Linked DNA regions of Elephas maximus indicus. The protein of the gene in region 1 interacts with the protein of each later gene in a biochemical or structural test. Links are inferred from orthologs where the notes say so. Each region holds a gene or a part of one and is shown on either strand. Other genes may lie near its edges. The genes, in order: RAB5A, CHML, APPL1 and RBSN.

The links.
Region 2: the proteins of RAB5A (region 1) and CHML form a complex in vitro, tested with the Homo sapiens proteins (2 studies listed by BioGRID). The link is inferred for Elephas maximus indicus from reciprocal best matches to the Homo sapiens genes RAB5A and CHML.
Region 3: the proteins of RAB5A (region 1) and APPL1 form a complex in vitro, tested with the Homo sapiens proteins (2 studies listed by BioGRID and IntAct, with this or other methods). The link is inferred for Elephas maximus indicus from reciprocal best matches to the Homo sapiens genes RAB5A and APPL1.
Region 4: the proteins of RAB5A (region 1) and RBSN form a complex in vitro, tested with the Homo sapiens proteins (3 studies listed by BioGRID, with this or other methods). The link is inferred for Elephas maximus indicus from reciprocal best matches to the Homo sapiens genes RAB5A and RBSN.

Annotation. Positions count from the first base shown.
Region 1 is NC_064845.1:19,813,866-19,821,177, reverse strand, and holds the start of RAB5A (ras-related protein Rab-5A), read left to right. Parts: upstream 1-4,306; 5' UTR 4,307-4,657; intron 4,658-4,762; exon of another isoform or gene 4,763-5,106; intron 5,107-7,312. UniProt on the Homo sapiens protein: The small GTPases Rab are key regulators of intracellular membrane trafficking, from the formation of transport vesicles to their fusion with membranes.
Region 2 is NC_064842.1:22,516,018-22,522,872, forward strand, and holds the start of CHML (rab proteins geranylgeranyltransferase component A 2), read left to right. Parts: upstream 1-3,841; coding exon 3,842-5,809; 3' UTR 5,810-6,855. UniProt on the Homo sapiens protein: Substrate-binding subunit (component A) of the Rab geranylgeranyltransferase (GGTase) complex. Binds unprenylated Rab proteins and presents the substrate peptide to the catalytic component B.
Region 3 is NC_064838.1:61,882,797-61,889,864, forward strand, and holds the start of APPL1 (DCC-interacting protein 13-alpha), read left to right. Parts: upstream 1-4,051; 5' UTR 4,052-4,119; coding exon 4,120-4,173; intron 4,174-7,068. Other genes in the region: HESX1 (homeobox expressed in ES cells 1), read right to left, coding at 2,553-2,720. UniProt on the Homo sapiens protein: Multifunctional adapter protein that binds to various membrane receptors, nuclear factors and signaling proteins to regulate many processes, such as cell proliferation, immune response, endosomal trafficking and cell metabolism.
Region 4 is NC_064838.1:38,698,018-38,705,542, forward strand, and holds the start of RBSN (rabenosyn-5), read left to right. Parts: upstream 1-4,504; 5' UTR 4,505-4,594; exon of another isoform or gene 4,595-4,703; intron 4,704-7,119; 5' UTR 7,120-7,291; coding exon 7,292-7,439; intron 7,440-7,525. UniProt on the Homo sapiens protein: Rab4/Rab5 effector protein acting in early endocytic membrane fusion and membrane trafficking of recycling endosomes. Required for endosome fusion either homotypically or with clathrin coated vesicles.

The DNA.
Region 1 (7,312 bases):
CACAGTGTTATCCATAATTTGTTATGATCCATACAGTCGAATGCCTTTGCATAGTCAACAAAACACAGGTAAACAGCTTTCTGGTATTCTCTCCTTTCAGTCAAGATCCACCTGACACCAGCAATGACACCCTGCGTTCCATGCCCTCTTCAGAATCCGGCTTGAACTTCTGACAGTTCCCTGTCGATGTACTGTTGCGATTGCTTTTGAAAGATCTTCAGCAAAATTTTACTTCTGTGTGATATTATTCCCCGCCCCCCCATCTCCACCCTGCTGTTGAGTCGATTCTGACTCGTAGCAATTCCATAAGGTTTCCAAGGCTGTAAATCTCTACGAAAGCAGACTGCCACATCTTTCTCCTGCAGAGCTGCTGGTGGTTTCTAACCGTTGACTTGTCGGTTTGCAGAGATAATCACTTTAACCCCTGTGCCACCCAAGTTCCCTGGTGGCGCAGTCGTTAAGCTTTCAGCTGCTAACCAAAAGGTCAGTAGTTTGAATCCACCAGCTGCTCTTTGGAAACCCTATGGGACAGTTCTACTCTGTCCTATAGGGTCACTATGAGTTGTAATCGACTCGACAGCAACAGGTTTTTGTTTTTCTTGTGTGTGTGTGATATTAATGATATTGTTTGATAATTTCCGCCTTCTATTGGAGCACCTTTTTTTGTAATGGGCACAAATATGGATCTCTTCCAGTTAGTTGACCAGGAAGCTGTCTTCCAAATTTCTTGATACAAATGAGTGAGTACCTCCAGTGTTGCAACCATTTGTTGAAACATCTTACTTGGTAGTCTGTCAATTCCTGGACCGTTGTTTTTTTCTCATTCCCTTCAATGCAGCTTGGACTTCCTCCTTCAGTACCATCAGCTCTTGAGCATATGCTACCTCTGGAAATTTTCCCCACAGAATCCTTCATTATTGCAACTCCAAGCTCAAATTTTTTTCTTCAGTTCTTTCAGCTTAAAAAATGCCAAGCATGTTCTTCCTTTTTGGTTTTCTAACTCCAGGTCTTTGCAGATTTCACTATAATACTTTACTTCATCTTCTTGAGAAGTCCTTTGAAATCTTCTGTTCAGCTCTTTTACTTTATCATTTCTTCAGTTCGCTTTAAAAAAAAAAAGCTACTCAATATCCAACAGCAAGTTAGGAGTAACCTCCTGTTGTGCAATTATTCATTCAACCAATGTTTGTTGAAAACCTGCAACATGAAAGGAACTAATTTGGATCCAGGGAACATGAATACCTGGAACAGCTCCTCAGTGATTCAAGCAGTTTGCAAAGCAATTGTGTTTAAGAGTTCCACTGCTAACCAATAGGTCGGCAGCTCGAATCTACCAGGTGCTCCCTGGAAACCCTATGGGGCAGTTCTACTCTGTCCTATAGGGTCGCTATGAGTCAGAATTGACTCAACAGCAACATGTGTAACCCAAGGGTAAGGAGCCATGGTGGCACAATGATTAAGAGCTTGGCTGTTAATTGAATGGTTGATGGTTCAAACTCACCCATCACTCTGTGGGAGACAGATGTGGCACTCTGGTTTTGTAAAGATTCCAAAAACCAAACTCACTGTCACTCAGTCAATTCTAACTCATATCGACCCTACAGGGCAGAGTAGAACTGCCCCACAGGGTTTCTAAGACTGTAAATCTTTACAGAAGCAGACTGCCAAATCTTTCTCCCACAGAGTGGCTACTGGGTTCAAATCGCTGACCTTCTGGTTAGCAGCCAAGCGCTTTAACCACTGCACCACCAGGGTTCCTTCTGTAATGATTAAAAAAACAGCCTTGGAAATCTCATGGGGCAGTTCTATTCCATCCTATAGGGTGGCTATGAATCGGAATCTATTTGGCAGCAATGAGTTTGGGTTTGGGTATCATAGTGAAGATCCTCTTAAGCTCTGTGAGAAACTGAACTTTGTAATCCTAAGAAGACTGAAGGGCTGAGGAGAAAAGTCTAGGAACTTTCTGAGGCAGGATGTTAGAAGAACCATTATAGAGAGTAAAGCAAAGTACTGGGAAACCACAGAGGAAAGAAAACGATAATTAAATCTGGGAGAAGTATACATAGACGCTGTCTAGAAGTTGGCATCCCAACTGAGGTGAGCCTGGCAACGATGGGCCAGGTAATGGTGTTCAGGTGGAGAGAACAAAGTAAGATGCCAAGATGGGAACATGTAGGTATGACGCATCATGCTTTTCCGGTTAGCATGGAGGAGCATAGGGTGGTTAGGGGATGTAAGAAGGTGAGTTGGGACTAGAGCTAAAGAATTTTGGACTCTATTAAGCAATGAGATATCATTGAACATTTTTGAAGAGGAGAGTGGCTAAAGTGTGAAGAGTAGATTAAAAAGGCAAGCTGTTTCTGCCATCTAGTTGATTCTGACTCAGAGTGACTCTATATGGCAGAACACAACTGCTCCATAGGGCTTCCTACACTGTAATCCTCACGGGAGCAGACAGCCAGGTCTTTTCTCCTGCTGAGCGGCTGGTGGGGTCAAAGCACCAACCTTTCAGTTAGCAGCCGAGCATTTAACCATTGTGCCACCAGGGCTCCTTCAAAAGGCAAGAACGTGCATTAATTCTAGCTTTTATGAATACTACCATGGCCCAGGCTTTGGGATTAAAAAAACACAAACCGTTGCCCATCGAGTCAATTCCTATTCATAGCAACCCTACAGGAGAACTGCCCCGATAGGGCTTCCAAGGAGTGGCTAGTGGATTTGAACTGCTGACCTTTTGGCTGGCAGCCGAGCTTTTAAGCCACTGCACTGCCAGGGCTCTGGCTTTGGGATTATAGCTCAAATTTTGAGACTAGAGAATTTTTAGCAACAGAGTGGACAATGGTTTATGAAGAAGAGAAGGAAGAATTGATGATTCTTTAGTTTCAAGAGAGGGGGGGACTGAGAACCTGTTAACACCAGTCACAAAGCAGAAGCAGGTTTGAGCAGAATAGCTTTGGTTGTCTGTTCTGGGGTTTTTTTTTTTTTTGGACGTGCTATTTACGTGCCAAAACTAATGTGAGGTATCCTCTTTCCTTATTCTTCCTGGGATTGTCCAAGAGGTATTACCATGACTAATATTATATTGGAACAACCCCTCGAGGATAAAGTGCCACAGATACCATTTAGGTATGACACGTTACGCTCTTCTGGTTAGTTATTGGGCAGTTGATCTGAATGAATGCGTGCTTAAGGGTTCAGATCATTTCTACTGCATTATGTTGGCAGAGTACCCACAGGATGCCTTGCTCTGATATACTTCAAAGACAATATCATGTCCCTTCAACAGGCTATAAATTGTAAACTGAAAAATGGTCCTCATTCTGAGGGAAAATCAATTTAACATTCTTCCTCTGAATTGCTAAAAGGATTTTGTTTGGATACAGGTGTCTTGCAGAGACTATCTATTGTGTGGGATTTTACTGAAGAAGTATGCCTTCAGTAGGTCTGCTGTAGAGGGTAATCAAAGTCTTGAGCTGGCTTTCAGTGGAATGTCTGTTTAAGAACTCGGGTCCTGGAGCCAGCTAGTAAAAAAAAAAAAAAAGTAGGTTAGAAAAACAATTTCATCACTAACTAGGCAGTTACTTTGGACAAGTTACTCAATCTCTATGCCTCAAATTCTTTACCTGTAAAGCAGGCACGCCTCATTCATTCATTCCATAACCATGACTGAAGATAAGTGGGTTCCAGGCACTGGGCTAGACACCAGGTTTACAGCGTTGAGGGCCACTCTGGGGGTTACTATTTTAATGTAGGAAGCCAAAGGAGAAACACGTTAGTTTCAAAATGAATACCTAGGAGTTTAAGAAATGGGATAATTCCTGGAAAGCACGTGACATGGGGGGCAGTAGAGCAAAAAGCCCCTTAGCCTAGTTGCCCAAGATTGAGGTGTTCCGGTGTGGGGAGAGGGGGGCTGTGAGCTAATATTCCCAGAGGGAACCTCGCCGCCCAAAAGGGCTCGGAGTAACAAATTTAGCTCTTCAGGTCTTACCCCCAAACCAGGCAGTAGCGAGTATGCTCCGCCCACGCCGGGAGCCCCAGGGCCCCGGGCTCTGATAACAAAGGCGCCAGCGAGGGCGGGGCCGCGCGCGCCTGTGATGGGGCAGGGCAGCAGGCAGCCCGACCCGACCCGGCCGCTCGCGGGCATCACGTGACACGCCCATCCCGCGAACGTGCTCCCGGGGTGGGCGGGGCCTGAGAGGGGGCGGGGAAGTGGATAGAGCGGTCGGACTGGCTACGACAGGAAGTGACGAAAGGGCGTAGTTCGCTACGTGCAGCGACGTGGCGGCGGGGTTGGCGGAAGTGGCTCCCGCGCTGGGACTTGAGTGTTTGTGTTTTGGTTTGTGAAGAAGCCGGCGGCCGGCCTAAGGGGAGGAGGCGGAGGAGGGAGGAGGAGGAAGAAGTGGTCGGACCCAGAGCGCCGGCGGCGACGGAGGAGGAGAAAGGAAAGAGGAAGGCGGAGCGGGGAGAGGCGGAGACGGAGTCCGACGGGGGCGGCACCAGCGGCACGAGCCCAGCACCGTCCAGTCTGAGGGGAGCGGCGCAAGGAGGAGACGCTGCCGCCGCCTAAGCCACAGCCTCAGCCTCAGTTTCATCCTTCGGGCTTGGGATCTGCTGCCGGGAAGCTTTGGCCCCGCAACCCCGCGCGCTGCGGTCGCAGGTAACCCAACCGGCCCCTCCCCCTGCCAGATGGGGCCCAGACCCCAGGTTACCCGCGGCCCCCAGCCTGCCTGCACCCCTGCCGGCAGCGAGCCCCCGCCCTTACTCCTCACGCGTGCCGTTGCTGTGGGCCAGAGCGTCGTCGAACCCGGTGGCCGGTCCAGTCGGCCCTGGTGACTCATCCGTCAGGGGGCTTTACTGACCGGGATTTGGGGACTGGCTGTGGGAGGGACGGGTGTCACCCTCTCCCTTCTCAAGATGGCGACGTGGGAAGAGTACTGGAGGCCGCGGCTCCGCCTGGCGCCTGCCGTGGCCGTCTTGGGGGTCCCGGGCAAAGCCAGGCTGGGTTCTCGGGAGGAAGCTGCGAAAGATTGCCAAGGGGCCTTGCTGGTCTTGCGTATCCCGGCGATCTGGAGTTGGCCAGCAACTACTGGGGTACACTACTAGGAGGAGCCGGGGCCTACGGCAGGTGTGAACTGGGGGGAGCTCCGCCTACCTTCTACTTCCAAAGACGGGTGATCGTGGAGGTGGGGTGGGGAGGCTTTTCAAAATAGGCTGTCTAGAGAGTCGTGTGTCATCCATGGAGGATGGTAATCCACAGTTTTAAAGAAACTCAAGATAACCAGACCTCTGGACCCCCTCGGCAAATAGAGACCGTGAAGTCTGCTCGGGTGTTTTTTTCCCTGGAAACTCGTTACCCCTCCACCTCCCCCCGCCCGTGACTTTTAGACTCGTTAAGCTGAGAACATCATAATCCATCTATTTGGCTTTTGTGTTTTGCTTAAGTGGAGCCTAAGTGTTGAGTTAGTTGCTTTTCTCGTAATAAAGAAAAAAACACTTATGGGAATATTCAGGACGGTTCAGAAACTTTAAAATGGGGATAAATAATATGAGCTCATCGGGTTGTCGTGGTTAAAGTACATAGAACAGTGCCTGGACAAAAGAAGTGCCCAGTATGTTAGCTGTTATTAGTAAAAATTTGATCAAAGAGCACCTAGAAGGACTTTAGTTATAGAGTACTGGTTATTTTCAAAAGGTTTAAAAATACGTTATTATGCAAAATCCTTGTTTTGCCGTACAGACGAAAGTTCCAGCAAGTAGTGAATACAAATGAATGCACATAAAGTATTTTTTAACCTTAATGTTATGCGAACTGTGTGTTGGCAATTCGATTTAGTTTGCTATTTCCTGTTTGAGACCCTTGGAGAAATATAACCCAGTAACTTTAACCCTTGCAAGGCAAAGCTAGATCAGATTCTCGGTTTTCACGGGAATCTGATGTTTTCCCCGAAATTTTAGAAATACCATCAAAATCCTAGCATGTTGTCCTTGATAACTAATTGTTTGCTGTTTTGTAGATAACATGTAACAAACAATTGGAGAATGTTTCAGCTGCTGTTGTGTGTAATATTATTTCAAGGTGTGTTGGTTCATTTTCAGTCTGAAGGACATTTAATCTTCTCTTCAGATGGCCACTTGAATTGCCAGTTTTCAGGCCCTACTGTGTTTTGGGCATTGTGTTAGAGATTCATTTCATGTGTCGTCTCATTTAATTTTCACAACAGCTCTACACATTACGTTTTACAGAAATTAAAGAACCTAGGCAGGAGTCGGTATAACCGAGATTTGACCCTCAGTCTAATGTGTTTAAGGTAGAACATTTTTTTTTTTAATTATGAAAAATTTTTAAAATATTCAAAAGTAGGGAGAATAGTATAATGAACCCATCACCAGCCTCAGTTGTGTTATGGCCAACTTGGTTTATTTATGCCCCCATTGTTTGAAAGCAACTCTCAGACAGCATATCATTTCATCTGTAAATATTTTAGTGCTGGTTAAAGAAAAAGATACAGTATTGATAAAGGTAAGAGCTCTTCAGAGCTGTTGGATAGGTGATTTTATTGTCTTGATCCTCCTGGCTATGTTTATTAATGATTTCATTATCAAAAATGTTCCTTATATAAACACAAGTTTTATGGAAAAGCAAATTTTCTATATGGGGTGACTAAATAAAATAGAAAAGAACTTTTTAGGGAGAGATTCATCTTCAGGTTTCGTATATTTTATTGGCAAGCACGCAGTCAGATCTTGATTAAAGATGGGAGAAAACTGTTACGATAGCTTTCTGATTAGATTGAAAAAATGGAATGGATTCTTCAAATATTTACTTATTCTTTTTGAGATCGAAAGTTGACATTAGATAATGATAAGAGAAGACGTGGAAACTTACCACCCAGGTTAATTTTTTCAAATGTGTTGTTTAATAGAAAATAATGAGATTTATCGTTAATGACACTGTAGAAAAGTATAGTAAATAAAACACTAATCCCACCACAAAGAGAACCACTGTTAACGTTTTTTTCGTATGATGTTCTTGAGCAGATGAGAAAACAGTTTTAAGTCTCTTAGCCACTAGACACACAAACCTGGGGCCTTAAAATATGTTACTCCAAATTAATGAAAAACATGCACCATTTAACAGAGGCTTTCAAAATTAACATATTTTGAGCTCTTTTGGAGTGCCAGGATCTGTTTTCAGAGATTTCCAAGCTAGTTCTCAAAACTATTTTAACTCAAGTCCTCTAGCTCTACAATGTGAACCCCGAGCCACCTCTGGAGTTGCCTGGGTTTGAAACTCAGCTTTGTCACAGCTCTG
Region 2 (6,855 bases), on another chromosome or scaffold:
ATCTCCTTTCTCTGCTTTTACCTCCTACAATAATTCAACAGGGCACTAACGACGGCTTTTGCACTTTGAGGAAAGAGACGAGGAAAGTAGAATCGGGAGATTCAAGGAAAAAAGTGACTAACTCGTGAAAGTTGGGGGAAGGGTAACGGGAAGAAACTTAATTCATACACATTTTTTTTTCTTATTCCTAAAATGAGAGGTGGAAACCTAAAATAATAGCAATGTGTAATTTTTTTTTTTCTTTTGCACCTTAGCAGTTGTAAACCTTTGAATGCTTCCTAGGAAGTGACACAGTTTCATTCAGGAATGCAAATTAGCATGTGTCCTATCAGCTGTTTTTTACTATATTTTCCTCCTTATAGGTTCCATGACACCAAAATCTAAGGTGAGAATCCCAACTCAGATGAACAAATAGCTGTGCAAACAGTAGATTTCATTAAAGCAGAACGACTTGATTGTTAATTGAAAATTTATCTCTACAGTTTATCTCTTCTAATCCCCATGGAAGAATTAAATCTCACAGAAACTGACATTTTAAGGATGATCAACCCAGCATTTCGTTGGAAGACATGATTTTCTAAGCTTGGGAAATAAATTATTTTGGGGTGCCCTTTTTTTTTCTGGCAGTTTTATTTGAACAATGATTTGAGATAGAAATGTATATTTTTCAGGTGTTAAAATTCCTTTTCTGTCCAGAAATCTATTGATAATTTATGACTGCTTTTTTATCTTAGCAGGTTTCGGAGAACAAAATCTTTGTAATAATCATCAAAAATATTTTGCTCACCGATTTCTTATGCTGTGACAAACCCAAATATGATGTTTGCTAATGGTTCATTTTTTGATATTTTGAAGCAAACAAGAAAATGTCGTAGGAATCATCACTCCATTAATTTAATTATCTCAGTAATTCTAATACCATTCTCTCCCCACTCCCCAGTAAGCGTTCATCTGAGACTTTCATGTGTACAAAGATTTGAAACTTGGGGAGGGGGCTTTAAGTGTATGTAGGTGATGATACAGATGGCTATGTGATTAAATTCTTTATATTAATAAAAATACCTATTAGGCTTTTTTTTTTTTTAAAGTCAGGGCTAAGCTTTAAAGAGGGTGATTCAAGGCCAAGTGTCAAAAATAATGCCCCCTAGGATGGACAACAGGTGTTTGGTCATAGATGTGAAATCTCTTATTTCCACAAAGTACCTTTTCTGTGCTGGGAAATTCTATTTCTACCTTAATCTGCCTGGAAGGTAGTTTGAAAGCAATGGTGTATTGAGTTCTTTATTACTGCCAACGTGGACCCTCTCCTCAACCTCTTTCCTCTGCCTACACCACCCTCCTGTCTCCTGTCTCCTTTTTCTTCTCTCCTCCTTCACCTTCCCTGCCCAAGGCCCATCCCAATCAGAAGCGATTTTCAAAGAATGCTAGAAACACTCATCGTGCAGTCTTTTACCTCAGGACTGCTCTGTTTTTCTGGGCATTTGGTCAGTGTTTTCAACCATGACTTTATTCCTGCTTTTGAATTAGAGGTGGGGACTCAGAGGTAAGAGGTCCAGAGACCTGTTTAAACCCTTGGAGACAGGTCAGGAGTGGGGTTATGATGGAGCTTGAAAAGTTCTTAGTAACGATTCAGATTTCTTTGGAGTAAATTCTAAGGATGATGCTTCTAGATTAGGGTTAAACATGAAGAAGGCAGCATGCTTCCCCAGGTATTATTCTTGAGCAAAAAGCAACTAGCCATGGAGTACTGAAGAGGGAGGGGGGAAAAAAAAAGCTGCAGTGGCTACACCCTGTCCTCAGCCCCCAGAGGCATTTGAGGAGGCTGCCTGATATAGTGGGAAAATATAGTGGCTGATGGCATGAGGGTGCATTCCGCTCTTGAGTCTATGGCTGATGAACTGTGTACATTTTCCCAGGTCGATTAAACTCTCCAGGGGTCAGTTTTCTCATCTCTGTTATGGAGTAGTTGAGCTAAATGTTCTCTAAGGTCTCGTCTAGCTATGTATTTTGATGACTCCTTTGATATTTGTAGCTTAAGAGGTGCTTTCTTTTAGCACTTGTGGCTTCTGTCCTCTCTCTATACTGACTTCCACCCTCAGCTCCTAACTATCCCCTGCTAAGCTAAGGATAAGCCTGTGCTAGGATCACACTTCTTCACGTACCCTCGTGGAATCTGTCACTCTCTTCACACCTGCTGGAAGAAGGCAGAATAAATAACTCAGCCATACGTACATATATATACATGTATAGGCCAGGCAAACACCTCGTTCTGTGTGCAGTTCCTGGTTTCTCAGGGAATGAGGCAGAGGCTTTGACTAGACAGCGTAGGTAGGCCTAACTTGTACTGATGCAGATTCTAGTAGGTTAAGCAGAAAGGGAGATCAGAATTCAAAGCACTGTCACTCTTACTCACTGTGTAATGAATGATAGAAAGACCCCTCTAGCAGCAGAGTGTGTAGAGGGCAGCCCTCGTGCATAGGTGTGGGGAGGTCGTGCTTTACTGTAGACTTCTAGGTGAGAATGCCCTTTAGCCCATGGCTGCTCCACAGCTGGCCACACCTAGTGCCACACGGGTGTTCTGCACATGGAGTATGCTGGAAGTTCACAGAAGACTTTAATCACTACCACCTCCCACCCCCTCAAAACCAAAAACATCAAAAAAACACGTTAGTCTTGGCAGAGGATGTTTAGACAGCAAGTATTTCTTGGGATACAGAGATTCAGAGTTGTAGAAGTCTAGCAAAATACGAAATCATCCTATTCAAATGTTAGAAGTAGATGTAAGTTATTTATGTTAAGATATTCTAACATATGAACCCGGGAATGTTCTACAGAACATATATGTGCGTATGTACATTCACGTAAAAAAATTGTTACAAATAAATATCTTTCCCGGTAGGCCTATTCGTTTATGCACCTAAGTATTTTTAAATGCCGGTTGCTTTACCGATTTACAGATTCATCTTTTATTAATAACCGGCTGATTAATTCAGTCATAATAGTCATACTTTCATGTGACTACCATAAGATCCTATGGGTGGTTGGGGTCTGGAAAGGTATTCTGGTCAACACCTCTAGAATGACCAACTATATTGGCCTTGGAAATACCCCTAATCATGACAGTATTCACATAGCCTATAATCTATTCCCAGAAATACAATGGCATCACACATTTCTTAGAGTCTAAACTCATAGTTGTATGTAGTTTTATTGAAAGTAAAACTTACAGAATTTTATTATGCTAATTCTTCTTTATTTTTGTCAGACATTATTATGTCCATTTTTCGTTATCAAACTAAGTGATTTGCGAGAGTATATCTCCATTGTTCATTTTCAGGAAATTAGAAACTATGTGAGAAAGCATTTAATGACTTGATTTAGCTGAGGTTTCTATCCAGATAACAAGTGAGGCCCCATCAGACTGTAATTGGTGTTGCATGAAATTACTTTTATGTTGTTTACAATTGTATTCTTTTTTGAATTTTCTTCTTTCAGAGAAGAGTTCCAGTCACAAATGCATATGTGATGCATTTTGACATTCACTGCTAAGATGAAATACAGAAATGAAAACCACACATCACTTTTAGTATTCTCAGAATGATTAGATGTACTTTATCATGTTTTCATGCTACTGACCTATAAGAAAATATATATATATATATATTTAAAAAGGGTAATCATTAAACAGCTAGGACCTGCAACCTTGATGCCTCTGGGATGAACTGGAACATCACAAGGAGAGACTCTATTTCAGCATAGTCACACCTCGGCTGAGCCCTCATCCTAGAGTTGTACGCATTTCCTTCATCGGCAGTTGTCACCAGACACATTACCTCCCAGGATGGCAGACAGTCTCCCCACAGAGTTTGATGTGGTTATAATAGGGACAGGTTTGCCTGAATCCATCCTTGCAGCTGCAAGTTCAAGAAGTGGCCAGAGGGTTCTGCATGTTGACTCCAGAAGTTACTATGGAGGGAACTGGGCTAGCTTCAGCTTTTCAGGATTGCTATCCTGGTTGAAGGAATATCAGGAAAACTGTGTTGATGGGGAAGAAAGTACAGCTGCATGGCAAGGCCTGATCCATGAAACAGAAGAAGCCATTACTCTTCGCAAGAAAGATGAAACCATTCAACACGTGGAAGTTTTTTGTTATGCCAGTCAAGATTTGGATGACAGTGTTGAAGAGGTTGGTGCTTTGCAGAAAAATCCTTGCTCAGTGGCATCTAGTACCCTCACTGAAACTCTGGATTCTGCATGCTTGGGCGAAGACGAGCACTTAGTACACATTCCTAGCTATGAAAGGCCTGCCCAAGACACTTCAAAAAGTGATGGAGAGATTTCGCTAGATGTAAATGACGTCAAGGAACCCCCGGAGAAAGGAAACGATGGTGGAGACAGAGCTCGTGCTCACGCGGTTTCAGATGCAGACAAAGATGAAAACAAACCTGCAGGAGAAGGCAACACAGACCAGCCAACAAGAAACAGGATTACTTACTCTCAGATAGTTAAAGAAGGCAGGAGGTTTAATATTGATTTGGTATCAAAGCTGCTGTATTCTCAAGGATTGCTGATTGACCTTTTAATCAAATCAAATGTCAGTCGATATGCAGAATTTAAAAATGTCACAAGGATTCTTGCATTTTGGGAAGGAAAAGTTGAACAAGTGCCTTGTTCCAGAGCAGATGTCTTCAATAGCAAAGAACTCACTATGGTTGAAAAGAGGATGCTCATGAAATTTCTCACGTTTTGCGTTGACTATGAGCAACATCCTGATGAATACGAAGCTTTCAAGCAATGCTCATTTTCAGAGTACTTAAAAACTAAAAAATTAACTCCAAATCTCCAACATTTTGTACTGCACTCAATTGCAATGACATCAGAGTCATCTTGCACTACGATAGATGGCCTTAAAGCAACAAAAAACTTCCTTCAGTGTCTTGGACGGTTCGGCAACACTCCCTTCTTATTTCCCTTATACGGCCAAGGAGAAATTCCCCAGTGTTTCTGCAGGATGTGTGCAGTCTTTGGCGGAATCTATTGTCTTCGGCATAAGGTACACTGCCTTATAGTTGACAAAGAATCTGGGAGATGTAAAGCAGTTATAGATCACTTTGGCCAAAGGATAAATGCCAAGTATTTTATTGTGGAGGATAGCTACCTTTCTGAGGAAACATGTGCACATGTGCAGTATAAGCAGATCTCTAGGGCAGTGCTCATTACAGACCAATCTATACTGAAGACAGATTCAGACCAGCAGATTTCTGTTTTGATAGTGCCTCCAGTAGAAGCAGGGACCTGTGCTGTTCGGGTCATTGAATTATGTTCTTCAACCATGACATGCATGAAAGACACCTATCTGGTGCATTTGACGTGTTCATCTTCTAAAACAGCAAGAGAAGATTTAGAATCAGTGGTGAAGAAGTTATTCACCCCATATGCTGAAACGGAAGTAGACAAGGAAGCGCTTGAAAAGCCAAGACTCTTGTGGGCTCTTTATTTTAATATGAGAGATTCCTCAGGAATCAGCAGAAGCTCATATAATGGCTTGCCTTCCAACGTTTATGTCTGTTCTGGGCCTGACTCTGGTCTGGGAAGTGAGCATGCTGTCAAGCAAGCTGAAACACTTTTCCATGAGATCTTTCCAAGTGAAGAATTCTGCCCCCCACCTCCAAATCCAGAAGACATTGTCTTTGATGGTGATGATAGGCAACCAGAGGCTCCTGGAACCAATAAGACAATAATGGCTGAACCAGAATCCTCTGAAGAAAGCAAAACCCTAGAAAGTCCAGGGAAGCTGCTTCAAAATTAGAACAGGCAAAACTGGAAATTCTGCATTGGCGTCAGAATATTCTCATTTCAAGGACAGTTTCCATATGAATAAATAGAAGTGGTTATATGATAAATGCAGTGCTAGATGTTGTCTTTAACTCTCTATGAGACAGACATTCAGTCATTGGATGTCTTTGTTTATCGGTAGCTGATTCATTGCTTATTGGACTTCTTTTGTTTAAGAATGGACCCCAAGATCCATAAACTTAAATAGTGTTAGCTTTATTTTTGGTATTGCATATATATATGAGCGTTCCATATTCGGAACTCTGCTTAAAGGAAGGTAATATTGTATCCAGTGATCTTCAGATTTTATCATTATCTACAGAGCAATTAATAATCCCTAAGGAATATTTCAAATACTTTTGCAACGATTGCATTTCCTACCACATCTGCTTTCTTGGAGATATTCGAACAGTGAACCACACAAAAATAAATTATGTGAGTCTTTTTATGTGTATTATGGACACGTAGTGTGGCGATGGTAATAGCAACCAATCCAAGTGCCAATATGATAAAATACATTTGTCTGTAATTGTTAAGCAAATAGCCTTGCATGATTCTTTATTCTTTGTGAAGGGCTGATGTTTAAAATACATTTTATGGTATAATTCAGCAGCTTGACCTTGGTAACCAACTGAGTTAGTTCCATATTACAGAAAGAGTCAGAATTTACTAGTTGAAGAGCTTATTTTTCAGAGTTTCATTTGAGAAAAAAGTTAGAGGATAAGATTAGTTCTGGTTTAATACTTCAGAAAATCTCTGCAGAGCCCTGCTCTAACTTGAAGTTCAGTAGATGAGGCCAACTCAAAAGAACTTCCAGCAAGTAACTCAGGCCACAAAGGGGGGCAGCAATGCTCCAAGAAAAGATACTTCACAGTGGCTGTACTGAAATTCCTAAGAAATTGACTGAGGCATGTTTAACCTGGGATTAAAGCCATCGCAGTTTAAATCCACCAGCCATTCTTTGGAAACCCCATGGGGCAGTTCTCTGTCCTGTAGGGTTGCTATGAGTAGGAATGACTT
Region 3 (7,068 bases), on another chromosome or scaffold:
CAGATGCCAGAATGGAGACACAGAGAGGTACGCAATTTGAGTAAAGTCACAAAGTTAGTGGAGCCAGAATTTAAAGCCCGGAGCCCAGGCCCCTGGTCTCATCCACCTCCCCATTTTCATCACAGAAGTGGAAACCATGCTGCTTTGTTTCCAAGTACTTCCCCTGATCAAAGAAATTAATTTACTAATGTCTTCTTGTTCCAAAAAGGAATCAAGACAACCATAAAAGAAACAAACCCATACACAATTATCCTAGAAATAAGGCTTTTTTCTTTTTACAGTCCACGAAGTAGAAGTACAGAATTTTCCCTACATTCTAACAACGCTGCAGCAATGAGCAAAAGCAGTATCAACGTCAAGGTCAAAGCCAGAGGGTGGCCCAAGAACAGTCAGTTGGTTTTTGCTACCTTCCCACCTCTTCTTGCAACCCACTCCTCAGAACTTTTCTTCTACCCTTCAAACAGGGTTTTGAACCTGTTCTTCCCGGTTCAATCACGGCTAAGGAAGCAACACCAGAACACACTGGAATTTTTAAAATTTGAGTGAACCAGAACCATAACTGGGACAGGAAAAATTACGAGATGAAGCCCTGCTAGAAACTTATTCTCCGTCTTATAAAACAAGGGCAGCTTATGGTGTTGCACAGCAACCAAATCTCTTGCCCACGGGATTTTGCGCAGAGTCAGAAACAGCAATGCCCTGCTCAAAGATGGCTGCCAACTGCAGCGCATTTAAAGTGTGTCACTCACTCTCCACAGTCCTGGAAATAACCCTTTCTTTCTGCATCAGGCTCTTGAAAGGGCTCACTATGCCTCTTCCAAATCTCCCATTCCAGGGCCTCAACCCATAATTTTTCCCTTTCTGGTTATGGTTCTGGATCATTCAAATTTAAAAAAATTCAGGTCTATTCCAGTTTTGCTTGTCAGCCATGACTGAGCCAGTTCTAACTGGTTTGGAGTCCTGCCTTCAACTACTCAAAGCTTTTACCTACTTTACCACTGATTCTAATGTTTTAAAGGAACAGAAGTGACTCAAGCTCTCAAATTAAAAATTAATATACCCATTCCCTGAATTTGGTTCATCTCAGCTGGATATCAAGAAGAAAACAATTATCTGTTAAAGTGAGTCCCAGTAAGAAGTGATTTACTTGGGTAACATCTAGAATTATTTGCATCATACAGTATGCTCCTAAATGGAGCATGAATCCCCAGAATTTCAGATTGGTGGAGTCTTCGGGGGGATATTTGTGAGTATGAGGCTTCCCAGGGTCTCCAGATGATTCTGGAAATGGTGCCCCATCACCATCTTCAATTGGAACCTAGAATTCCATTTCTAAATGTTTACTTGACTCCCCAAATTTTCTAAAATGCAAAGTTATATGGGAAAGGGTGTCTTGGGCAGAGTTTTTCAACATGTGGTTTGAGGATTACCTACTTCAGACTCATGTGGAGATCTGGGGTTTAAAACCCGGGTTCGCAGTCCCATCTCTAACCTAATGAATTATAATCTTGCAGCAGGATTTGGGAATCTGCATTCTAACAACCTCCCCAGATGACTTTTATGTGTGCATTTAAGTTTGGAAACCACTGGCTTAGAGGGATGACTTTTAAAAGTAAAGCACCAGCATCATTTGAGTTGTTGGATTCTTTCCTACTGCAGACCACAAACCAGAACTTCGAGGAGTACCACGTAAAAATCTAATTATAAGAAGGCAAAACATAATTTTAGGAGGCTAATAATTCACAAGTCTATTTACAAGATTATACGTCCTTTTGTTGTAAATTATAGGTGTGAAACGTCTCAATGAATTCTTTGGTGGATGCCGTTTAATCCTGCCTTGCCTTCCATAAAATGAAACAGCTGGACCAAGTCTTTACTGCGCTACCCACACACGAGTCTCCAGTAACCTCCAAAGCACTCTCTGAACAAGCCTCATTTCCTGTATAAAAGGAAATGGGCTTAAAATGAACTGAGTTTGGATAACTACAGAAAATTTAGGCTGATTTAACTTAAACTAGTTATCAAAGGAGACTGTAGATTCTACACCCTTAGAGATGTTTTAAAACAGGAAGCACAACCATCTTTTTGGATGAGCAGGGGGTTAAGTGGCCTAAAGCTGGAGGATTCAACTGGAAGGCCTTTTAAGATTCTTTCTACTTTTAAAATTCAACTAAACCTCATCTCCACTCAATTGAATGTCAATCTGTTTTTGTTTGTTTCATTTTTTAGCCAGTTGAGCCTGGCAAGAATTCCTTGCCCCTCTCTGACAATGAAATAGCCTCTTGAGAACCCTTTACAAAAAAGAATTTAGCTGGACATACAAAAAAAGAAACCATTTAACTTGATGACAATACCCCACCCAGATAACTCAGATACCTAATTGAATTTTTCACTAGAATTATTTGGCTTGGCTGAGTTAACTGGCTAACTTCCCTTCAGTTACACCATATAATTACTCTTCTTTCTCAGACATTTTCACTTATTGATTTTCACTACCTTTCTTCTACTTCACTTATAATCTAAATTGCAGTTCAACCCAGAAGGTCACTTACCTTGAGAGTCTTCCTTTTTAGAGTCAGTTTCACGGTGCTTGTGCTGACAGCATCAGAAATATTCATTGAGGGCAGAGCTGGGTTGCTGGGGTCTGCATGATGGCTGGGTACATCTATGCAGCTGTGAATGCTGTTGTTCAAAAACGTTAAGAATTGACTCCAAACCATCTTTCTCAAAAACTAAAGATCTCTTCTAGAGGGTGACTCGTGTACAGATAAACAATCTAAGGGGCTAGTTCTCATTTCAAGCTTATAAAACTAAGACTAATTCTTTGAAACTATATCCCAAGTCTACCTGGCAAAACTTTCTTAACCTCATTTTATCTTTCCTTCAAGAGATCATGAGGAAACCGAGTATTTTAGTTTAAAATATGTGATTTCTATTCCTGTTACTGTATGGATTTGTTCCAATGTATGTGTGTAAACAAGCAGCTAACAACCTTTACCTGGCATCTCTTCTGTTTAACTGAAACTGGAATAGATTGAGGGATTTAATGGCTACATTTTCACAAGACTCTGGTGATTTTACCATTTTCTCTGCATACTGATGAAAACTTTTTAAAACTCTACACAGAAACACATGAGAAGTGTGAGGATGGGGCAGAGGGACGAAGAGACAGGAGGTAGGCCGGCTTCTAGTTTTGATCTGGTTAAATCCCCAACTTCTTTGAGCTGCACTTTTTTCTCTGCTTGTAAATTCAGAGGCTAAAGAAGCTGTTTAAAGTCTGTTCTGACTTTTTCAATCTGACAGAAATGCTAATCAGTTACCAAATAATAAGCTAGTGTACTGTGATTTTTAAAGATCTTGTATTTGTGATTTAAAAGACAAACCTAAGTCAAAGTTGCTGCGCGTCAGTTCAAGGCCAGGTAAGAACCGGCGAAGCCGGCAACCAAGTCACCTGTTTTGAACTGAGTATACTGATATTTAAATACCTAGAAAATTATCTGGAGTCAATCTCCACAAATTTACCCGAAAGCCCTGTGACACACTCGGGACCTCACAGAGCTGAGTCAGCCAGCACCATTTTGCGGCAGGGGGAAGGCTGGAAGCTTCGGACATGGGTGTAATTTGAGGAAACGAAAGAAAGGCCCAGCGGTCGAGCTTTTTCAAAGGTCCCTGACGACAAAAGTTGCGTGAGAAGCGACACCGCCCCACACTCCCCAGTGTGGTCCTCCCTCGACGCTCCAGTTGCCGGCGTTCCCACGTCGCCTACGAGTCGCACCCAAGCGCGCGCGCAGACCGGCCCTCCCCGAGCGCCCGCCCGCCGCCCCGCCTTCGGGGCCCGCACCAGCCGCGCGGCCCGACGCAGCCAAGGAAGCTCGCGGCCAGCCCCCCAGCGCCGACGGACGTCGCCGTCAGCCAATGGGTGCACGGGGAGGCGGAGCAGCGGGGCCTAGGGGCGGGATTTCCCGCGAGGCCGCTGGGGGCCTGGCGAGGGTGGCGCGGGGCGGCGACAGCGGCGGCGCCTAGCAGGGAGGGCGGGCCGGGGTCGGCTGCTGCGGGCGGGCGGGCGTGGGGAGCTGTGGGCGGTCGCGCGTCTCCTGCCGTCGCCCTCCCTCCGCCACGATGCCGGGGATCGACAAGCTGCCCATCGAGGAGACGCTGGAGGACAGCCCGCAGGTGAGCGCGGGCGGCGAGGGGAGGAGCGGGCCTGGCCGAGCCCGGGCCTGGCGCCGCCGTCGCCGCAGGTGCCCACCCGGCCCAGGTGGGCGCCGCCGCCCAGTGCCCCCGCCCGCGGAGCCCGTCGTGGGCCGCGCCCGAGCCGCCGAGCTGGGCCTGCCGCCCGAGGCCGGCGTGGGCCTGCGCGGCTGCGCCGAGGCTGCGCGCGGGGTTGGGGACAGCCGCCGGCCGAGCCCGAGCCGCCGCCGCTTCGCGCGTGGGCCCGGCGGTCACGTCCGCGCGCCAGCCTCCCAGGGTTTGGCAGTAGGTGCGTTTCTAGCGGCGTGATGGGAAGTGGTAAGCCCAGACTCTGCACGCTGTCCCCGGAAAGCCTTCTCGGAGAAAAGGCAGAAGGGGAGACAGCCCGGGAGCGTTTGGTTTCTGAGGCTCGGCGTGCGAGAAAAGGAAATGCAGTTTTTCTTCGGGAGATGCTGAAAGGCTGTCAGTTTGCCCGTGGGGAGTCGTCGGCGAAGCCCGTCGTGGGCCGCGGAGCCTGCGCCCGCACCTCCCGGCCGAGCGTGCCCGGTGTCGTGGCCGCCGGCGCTGGAGGTGGCACTGCGCGGGATGTGGTGCCCCGTCTTCGCGGACCCACGGCCGCCGCGCCGCGCGGGGCAGACTTGGTCCTAATAAACTCCTCGAAATACAGGCGCTGCCTTCGGAGTTTAGGGCGTTGTTTTCCTAGCCGAAGACGTTGTAGGAAAACGTAGCCATTCGATCCTTTTTCAGTACTCAAGAATGTACACAGCTGTTTTTAGGCGGGGGGCGGGGGGCGGGGGGGGGAAGATTGGTGGGCGCTGTAACTTGCATGGATGAACTGCATCCCTGACCCTGTGTTTTGGAAACGCTGGTGTAGTGGTTAAGAGCTGCGGCTGCTGACCAAAAGGTCGGCAGTTCAAATCCACCAGGTGCTCCTTGGAAACTCTCTCCTCTGGGTCGCTATGAGTCAGAATCGAGTCGGGGGTAACAGGTTTGGTTTGGTTTTTGAAGCCTGTCTTTTACACGGTAATTGAAGCGATTTTAAGATGATACTGCTGGCTGAGCACCACTTACAATGAAGAAAATTTTCTGAAATATAATTCACTTTGAAGTACAGTTGCACGTGTTTCATGTTTAATATGACTCCAAAAGAAAAATGGGAGGAAAGGGCTAGATTCCCCATCCTGGGTACTTCTACCCTGAAGTTTGTGCCAATTTTAATTGCCAAGTTGAAATTGGGCTCTGATTGTGGATTTTTTTTGTTCTGAAAGTTATCTTCACAGACCAGTTGTCTTGTAATATACTCTTGTCAGCCTGTACTGACAGAGAGAAAGCCAAATCTTGGATTATCTTGACTGCCATAATAGTTCACATTCTTTTTTTCCTGACTCTCCTAGTATAAAGTTAGCCCTGGTGGTGCAGTGGTTAAGCATTAGGCTGCTAACCAAAAGGTTTGCAGTTCAAATCCACCAGCCACTCCTTGGAAGCCCTATGGGGCAGTTCTACTCTGTTGTATAGAGTCGCTATGAGCCGGAATCAACTCGACGGCTACAGGTTTTCTTTGGTTTTAGTATAAAGTTATAAGCTATATTTCAGGTAATCTGCAAAAATTTTGTGGGCTGTATTGGTCAGGTGCACCTAGTCATTTTATTTTTTCCTACTTAATAATCAACAGATAGCCTGACCTTTCTTACCTTACCTGGTGCTTTTTTTTTTAAAAGCCGGTAAAGATTACACAGCTCAGAATGGTTGCATAGTGCCCTAGCCATGGTGTGTGAGGAGGAAATAATCTCTTGACTGATTAATTTCTTGAACTTTTCACACAATTAGTTTACAACTTGAGCTTAAGTTTTTTAAAAGCACACATCATATTACTATAAGTTCTACAGTAATTTTTAATGAAATAGGCCAATCGATATTCTTTTAATTTCTAAAAGCAACAAACTTGAACTAGGTTGTATTTATTTGGGACAATTAGTTGAAACAACTGGGATTTGGGAAGAGAAGATACTTGGAGGTAATTCTTAGAAAGAGATGGACAGGATGGAAAGCCCTGGGTCTGGGATCAGGAGCCATGGTTCTAGTCCTCGTTACTACTTAGTACCTTCTGCTTTAAGGCAAGTTACTCAGCTTCTCTAAGCCTCATTATAGTGAATGTTTTTGTTCCTGATTATAAAAATAATAATTATTTGCTTCAGAAAACCTGGAAGGTACAAAAAATAATACATACACACATGCACATACCTATCATACACCCAGCAGCAAACCCTGTTAACAGTTTGCTTTCTTTATTCTTGTCTTTTTCCTCCTATATGTTTTAATGCAATTGAGATATTGTATATAACCTTTGTCTTGCTTTATTTAACATTATAGCTTAAGTATCTTCCCATACTTTTACATTCTGAATTAAAAAAATTAAAGGCTGCACATTTCCCTGACAGACTCAACAATTGTCCCATTGTTGGACTTTTAGGACTTTTCCGAAGTTTTGCTTCTATAAATAGGGCTGAGATTAATGTCTTTGGTCGTAGATTTTTTTGTTTTTACTTCGGGCTGCTTAGGATAGAGTCCAAGAAGCAGACTAACCAAGAGTATGAAAACTTTTAAAGCCCTTGATACAACAGATGAATTTTTATTAGATCATTTGATCATAATAAAAAATAGCCTGCCAATTGATATGTAAAAAAATTAAAGCCTAGGAGTCACGGAAGAATATCCTGAATTACAGTTATCCCTTTTTAGTTCTGATTTACAGTAACTAGGGGGAATTATTAAAATAGGGGAAATTTGCAAGTCCAAGTCCAGCTGATTGACTGTAAGCATCTTTAGAATTAGCTAGCCCAGACCACACCATTCTGCAAAAGATCCCATCATCGAGCT
Region 4 (7,525 bases), on another chromosome or scaffold:
CACTTTCCAAACATTAGCTTTCTACGGGGTTCAAGAGTTTCCCCCTAAAACTCAAGTCCTTCCCAGAATCTCAGAATGTGACCTTTTTTGGAAATAGTCTTTGCGGATGTGATTGGTTAAATTAAGATGAGGTCATCAGGGGATTAGGGTGGGCCCTAAATCCAGTGACTATTATCCTTGTAAGAGAAGAGACCCAGAAGCAGACAGACACACAGGGAAGAAAGGCATGTGAAAATGGAGGCAGAGGTTGGGGTTACGCTGCCACAAACCAGGAAATGCCAAGGACTGCTGGCAACCTCCAGAGGGTAGAAGCAGCAAGGAAGGATTCTTCCCTAGAGCTTTCAGAAGAGAATGGCCCAGCTGACACCTTGATTTTGGACTTCTGGTCTCCAGAACCAGGAGACAACAAGTTTCTGTTGTTGAAAACCACCCACTTTGTGGTACTTTGTTACCACAGCCTTAGGAGACTAGTAGCAACTCATTTAATCCTCCACCCTAGGAACAGCGACTATTATTATTGCATTTTACGGGAAACTGAAGCTCAGAGAATTTGAGTGATCTGCTTGGAGCCACACAGCTACAAGTGGCAGAGCTGGGATCCAAACCCAGGGTGGCTGCCTCCAATGTCTGTGCTTCTATCCACCATACCTTGCTACCTCCCTCCTTACTCCATGTCTTATTTCCTCCTTTCTCTGTGTCTTTCCTGGCAGAAGCAGCTACCACCTGCTCCCCTATTCACAGCCTAGCCTGGCACCCTCTACCCATTCTTCAGACAAGGCCCTGCCTCCCCGTGGTCTGCTCTGGGCCACAGCAGCAGCTGGCAGAGGCCTGGGATCTGGAACTTGGGCCAGTACGGGGGAGCGAGACCTTTGGGGCATTACGTCATGTGCCACACACCTTCCCCTGATGTCCACATCATGATTTCCCTTCCTATCAGGGATTTTGATGGGATGCCAAGTGCCTTGTGCTACTCAGGATAAACATATATAGACAATAAGGGACCAGAGAGAGACATAGAGCTCTAAGGTACAAGGGGAGGTGAAGAGGTCCAGCTGCCGGTGATCCCGCCATTAGAGTCAGCTCCCTGTGGCCTGTGGTTTCGGGCAGGGCTTCCAACCAGTTCAGTCATGGCCGAGGAAGCAAAACAGGAAGAGACCTGAATCAAAAACAAAAAAAAAATTTTTTTATTCTACTTTAGATGAAGGTTTACAAAGCAAATTAGTTTCTTATTAAACAATTAATACACATATCATTTTGCGACATTCGTTGCCAACACCACGACATGTCAACACTCTCCCCTTCTCGACCTTAGGTTTCCCGTTACCAGCTTTCCTGTCCCCTCCTGCCTCCTTGTCCTTGCCCCTGGGCTGGTGTATGTTTTGTTTTATGGGCCTGTCTAATCCTTGGCTGAAGGGTGAACCTCAGGAGTGACTTAGATACTGAGTTAAAAAGGCATCTGGGGCCATACTCTCGGGGTTTCTCCAGCCTCTGTCAGGCCAGTAACTCAGTTTTTTTTTTTTGTGAGTTAGAATTTTGTTCCACATTTTTCTCCCAATCTGTCCAGGACCCTCTATTGTGATCCCTGTCAGAAAGGCTGTCGTGGTAGCTGGGCACCATCTAGCTGTGCTGGACTCAGTCTGGTGCAGGCTGTGGCAGTTATGGTCCATTAGTCCTTTGGACTAATCTTTCCCTTGAATTTTTAAAATTTGGGTGAACTGGAATGATACCTGGAACAGGGAGAATTACAGGTCAAAGCCCTGCTGGAAACTTAATCTCCCCCTTAGGAAACAGGGGCAGCATACTCATTGCATAGCTATCAGTTGTCTTGCCCATTGGATTTTGAGCTGAGCCGGAAACAGCGGTGCCCTGCTCAAAGATGGCAGTTGACTTCACAGCTTGGAATGTGTGTCACTCTCTGCCTTCCTGCCAGTAATCCAATCTCACGCATCAGGCTCCTGAAAGGGCTCACTACATCTCTTCTGAGTCTCCCATTCCAGGAGTTCAACCTGTAATTTTTCCCATTTCAATTATCATTCCAGATCACCCAAGTTTAAAACTTTGAGTCTGTTCTAGTTTTGCTTCATTGACCATGACTAAACTGGTTTGAAGCCCTGGTTTTGGGAACCAGAGCCAGTGCCTTCACATTATCATTCTAGGTGTGAACAAACTTTCCTAGGTTTTCAAAGGACTCCTGTTCTTCCCCACAACCATGCCTTTGCGTATGCCCCTCCCCACCCCGCCTCCTGGAAGGCCTTTCCCAACCCTCTCTACCTGAGGGTTCTGCTCCTATGTTGCCTCCCTGGAAACCTGCCCTGGATTTTCACAGAGGGAATAATTAACCTCTTCTCTGATGCCGGAGCTCCTGCACACATGTGCAAACTCTTTTTGAATGTGTCTGTGTCCCCCTGATGGCTGAGCCTCCTCCAGGGAGACTGCCCTGCCTCCTCTCACTCTCTCTCTCTTTGCTTGGTACATGGTTGGTGCCTGGGAAATGATGAGAGATGCAAGAATTTTCAGTGTTCAGGTCTGGACCCCAAGGAGGGGCGGGGTTTGAAGGCCTCGAGGCAAGATGACTCTGGGTTCAACATTTACAAGCTGTGTGACCTTTGGCAAATCACCTAGCCTCTCTGGGCCTCAGATTCTTCATCTGTAAAAATGGGAGGGATATTAATTTGTACCTCATAGGGTTGTATGAGAATTAAATGGTATGTAAAACACACAGAACAGTGCCTGGCATGTGCTAATCACTCAGTAAATGTCAGTCATTATTATTGTTATTTTAGAAATGGGAAAAAGAGTAGTTGGAAGGATTAACTAATGTATTGAATGTGGAAGTGCTTTTTATAAACTGTGAAGCACACAGGAAGGTCTTTGTTACCATCATTTTTGAAAATATCAATAGAACATCAGTGAGTCATCTTCAAAACACAGTTCAGATAACTAGTAAAAAAAGGTCTGTCTTGAGCATTATGTTCTTTTAAGAATTATCTCTATGGGATCAAATTGACAACAGCAACTTGAAAGATTAGATAGGAACCTCAGAGGGTAGTGAGTTTAGGTTAATGAGGTAGGAACATCTTAGAAAAGGAGGGTGAGAATGGTCGCAATCAATGTCATTAAATTGTACATGTAGAAACTGTTGAATTGGTGTATGTTTTGCTGTGTATATTCTCAACAGCAACAAAATTAACTAAAATTTAGAAGGAAAAAACAATTGGAACATCAGTGGCAGAGCCATCATGATTCTAGCATTAATTCACAAGCTGCAGGTCACATTGCCATGGCTTTTTCGAGCAAACCAAAGGGTGAATGTGATACTGGTTTTTGTGGATGATAAAATGCCAGGCGAACGCATGATGGTTTAATACAAGGTTCATCCTCTGACCGCAATGATATTCCCACCTGTAAGCATGGCTCCACAACCTATTGCCATGAGTAGGGGGCCATCTCGGTGGTAGCTAACAACAACAACAACCGCCCCTCATTTAATCCTCATAAAAACCTTATGAGGTGGAGACTATTATCCCCATTTTACAGATGGTAATACTAAGGATCAAAGGGGTCAAGGAAGACCAGGGATCTGGAACTCCAAGGCCCAAGCCATCATGCTCTGCAGCTCTTGCTTCTGAAGCCCAGGCCACTGCTAAGCCCAGTGTCTCACCAGCACTGGAATTAGGTTTTGTCTCTATATACTTTGTGGTTAGTGCTGAATAATCCATCCTGTTTTTTGAAATGTCACAGATTTGAACATATTGTACGTCCACTGGATACGCCTTCTCATTCCAAGCGCACACACTTATGTGGTTCTATTCCGAGTTTTCCCACATCCTCGGCTTTCCTCAAGTCTTCCAACTCTAGCTCTCAAGGACTTTGACTCTCGAATTAATTTAGAACTGCAATTGGGAGTGGGGGTAGAAGGCGTTAAAGACCCCCTCTGCTGACTCATTCACTGGCACAATGAACTATAAAAAACCCAATCCATTGCTGTCAAGTCAATTCGACTCATAGCGACCCTATAGGACAGAGAACTGCCTCATAGGGTTTCCTAGTCTGTAATCTTAAAGAAAGCAGACTGCCACATCTTCCCCCACCCTGCAGAGCCACTGGTGGGTTCCAACTGCCCACCTTTCGATTAACAGCCGAGCACTTGAACCACTGCACCACCCAGGATCCTTACAAAGGAATTATCCAAACACAAAAAACCATCCAGTGGCTTCTGACTCATAGCGACCCCACAGGGTTTCCAAGCCTGTAAATCTCTATGAAGCTGACTGCCACGTCTTTCTCCCGCGAGAGCCGCTGGTGGTTTCCAACCAACGACATTTCGGGTCGATGGTTTTAACCACTGAGCTACCCGCCGTTCTTAAGGCACCTACACATAGCCCGCCGGTCCTCTTCGGGCGGGTGGAGTACGTTCCCGCCCCTTCACGCCCTCGAAGACTCGGCGCTCTACGGGCGTCTGCCAGCCTGCCTTCCGGTTTTGGCACCGCCTCCGCAGGCGCGCCTGCCGAGCACCGAGCCGAGGATGGCGATGGCGGCTGCAATGGTGTAAGGGGCTGTGAAGGCCCACAGCCCCGGCGGGAGGACCTGACAGGTCTGCGCGGCCGCGGAACCCCGACCGGTTGCAGAAGCCAGGTCGAGCCTGGAGGGCGGAGGCGTGGCGCCACTCGGCAACCGAGACAGGCCGGCCGTGCGGGCGTGCGGTGTGTGTGACATACGTGCTGGGAGATGCGGCTTTTGGGTTGTGCGTTTCGCTTGTGTGTGCTTGTAGTGATTGGGCTCTGTGTGGTTATGCGGGGAGCGTACGGTTGGTGTTTGGTTATGCGGCTGAGAAGCGGGTGGCTGTCTCCTGAATGCTTGTGTTCAGTTCTCTGGTTGTGTGAGGTTGAAGCGTTCGTGCTCAGAGTTTGTGTGGGGTTGTTTGTAGTGTTTGTGTTGTGTCTGCGGCGTGTGGAGTTGTCATGTCTGTGCTCCATGGGGGTTGGGTTTTTCCAACAGTCTGTGGTTATACGACGTGTGCATAATCGTGATGTGTTATGTGGGCCAGTGCTGTATGCGGTCTTGAGGCTGTGGTGAGCGCGGCTGCGGGAGGTGTAGTCTGTGAGGCATGTGGTAGGATAGCATTCAAGTAGGACGCGTAGTTGTAGGATATGTGGATTTTATTTTTATTTCTTGTGCGATTTGGGGTTTTGGAGCTTGCATATGTATTCAGTTATGGTTGTGGGGTCCAGTTAGGTGGTGTGTGTTTGGCTATATGATTTTGGGGTTCCTTCATTCATTCACGGGCTTACTGCGTTTTGACTATGTGTGTGCCAGGCACTGTGCCAAACCCTGGAGATATGATGGTTGGGAAAACAGACGTAGTTTCTGCCCTCATAGAGCTTACAGTCTTGTGTATTTAGTCACTTTACATACGTACGTGTGATTATAAATTGAGATGAGTGTTGTGAAGAAGTACAGGTGCTATCAGATGGAGGGTGTGCCTCCAGTCAGAGAAGGCTTCCTTGAGGAAGTGGGGTTTGGGCTGGGATGTGAAGGGTGAGTCTGAGGGAGCCTGTGGGGGCGGTGGTGGTTAGTATTTGATTTGTGGTGGTTATGGGTGAGTGCAGGGGAAGGAAGTGGGCTCTCAGAGTCAGAATGTCAGATGGACCATTGTCTGGAGAGAGAACAGATCAGACCTGGGGCTACAGTTTCCGTGACCATCTAGAAAAGGAGCTGGGAATTGCGTGTGTGTAGTCGTTAAGCTGGTTGTTGTTTGTTGTTAGCTGCCATGGAGGTGGCCCCTGACTCATGGCAACCACTTGCACAACAGAAGGAACTGCTGCCTGATCCTGTGCCATCCCCATGATCAGCTGTGGGCTGGACTGTTGTGATCCACTGGGTTTTCATTGGCTTATTTTTGGAATCAGGTCAGGCCTTTTCTCCCAGTCCATCTTAGTCTGGAAGCACCCCTGAAACCCATTTAGCATCATAACATGCAAGGCTCCGCTGACAGATGGGTGGTGGCTGCACATGGGGTACATCAGCCGGGAATCAGATCTGGGCCTCCTGCATGGAAGGTGAGAATTCTACCACTGAACCCCAGTATTTCTTAGCTAGAGGAAAAAAACTGGGACCTGGGGTCTCCAGTTGATTAGTTTCTGGGTCACTGCCACTCTTCAGGTTTGGGGCCAAGAAAGTCCCTCTTCAATGGCCCTCTGAACAAGTTCATCCAGAGCTGAGGGTCACAGCTAGGTGTGGCTAGAGTTCCCCTGAGGAGAAATTTCTGCTTTCGTGGAATGTTTTTATCTGGATTCTTCCTATGGCTGGGAGTCTTTCTTAGGCGACCTTGGAAGTGACTTTGCCATGACCCAATGAGCCAGAAAATGTAACTTATTAAGTCCTGAAATCCTTTTGTTTTTGAAGCAGTGAGAACATTGGGCCTGCTGTTCAACTGCCACTAACTGATTTATAAAATCTAGTAAGCTCATTGGTGAGACAGTGCTCTATAAATATAAAACGCAAAACAGATTGTTCTTTTCATTACACTAGGTTTTGTAATGCTCCTGCTTTGACTGAGATGGGTTTTTTTTTTGTGTGTGTGTGTGTTTGGTTTGTTTTGGTCTGGTTTTTTGTTTGTTTTTTAGGGCAGGCACTCTGTCTTTTTCGTCTTTGCATTCCTGGCTCAGATGCTTTGCAGGTAGCAAAAACCCAATATATGCAGTTGAATAAATGATCCAGGTAAAGAGAGTCAAATAAAAACTACTACTTGGTGATGAATACTTCAGAAATTTCTTCAGCGGCCACGGTGGCATCAGATTATGAAGTTGGACCATTTGGAATAATGTGAAAAGAATTGCCTTGGTGTTGTGTTTGCTTTTGAAGTTGAATTTTCCTTTCTGGTCCTCAAGACTCTCTTCTTCCTGCTTCAGTGAGTTTCCGTTGTCCAGTGACATTCTCAAAATCTTAGACGACTTTGTGTTTTTGTTCTAAGGACTTGAAAAAGTAGTTTGCTTTCTTAAACTTGCAGTGACCAAACATTAAGAACCTTTGTTGAATTGTGAAAAGACAAAGAGGATTTTCAATTGCTGCTAATTTGTCTGAATTGGGTTTTTTCCCTCTTCTTCTTTCCTTTCTCAGGGCTCTTACTACTCCAGAGAGGAAACCTCATCCAGGGCCGCGATGCCACTTTCCCGTCATCAGTGTGCTGTTTCGTTAAGCTAATGCCGCAGGAGCCCTGGCCCCTTGTGGAGGAATCAAGCTGACTTTTGGCATGAGGCTGGTGCCTTGTGGGGGTTGAGAGGGCACTGCCATGGCTTCCCTGGATGACCCAGGGGACGTGAGGGAGGGTTTCCTCTGCCCTCTGTGCCTGAAGGACCTGCAATCTTTCTATCAGCTTCAGTCACATTACGAGGAAGAGCATTCAGGAGAAGATCGTGACGTCAGAGGACAAATTAAAAGTAAGAGGCACATGGGATGGTTTTCATCAGCTTCCGTGTTGCTACCAGAATATAATAATCAAATCAGTTAGTATAATAGTAGCAAA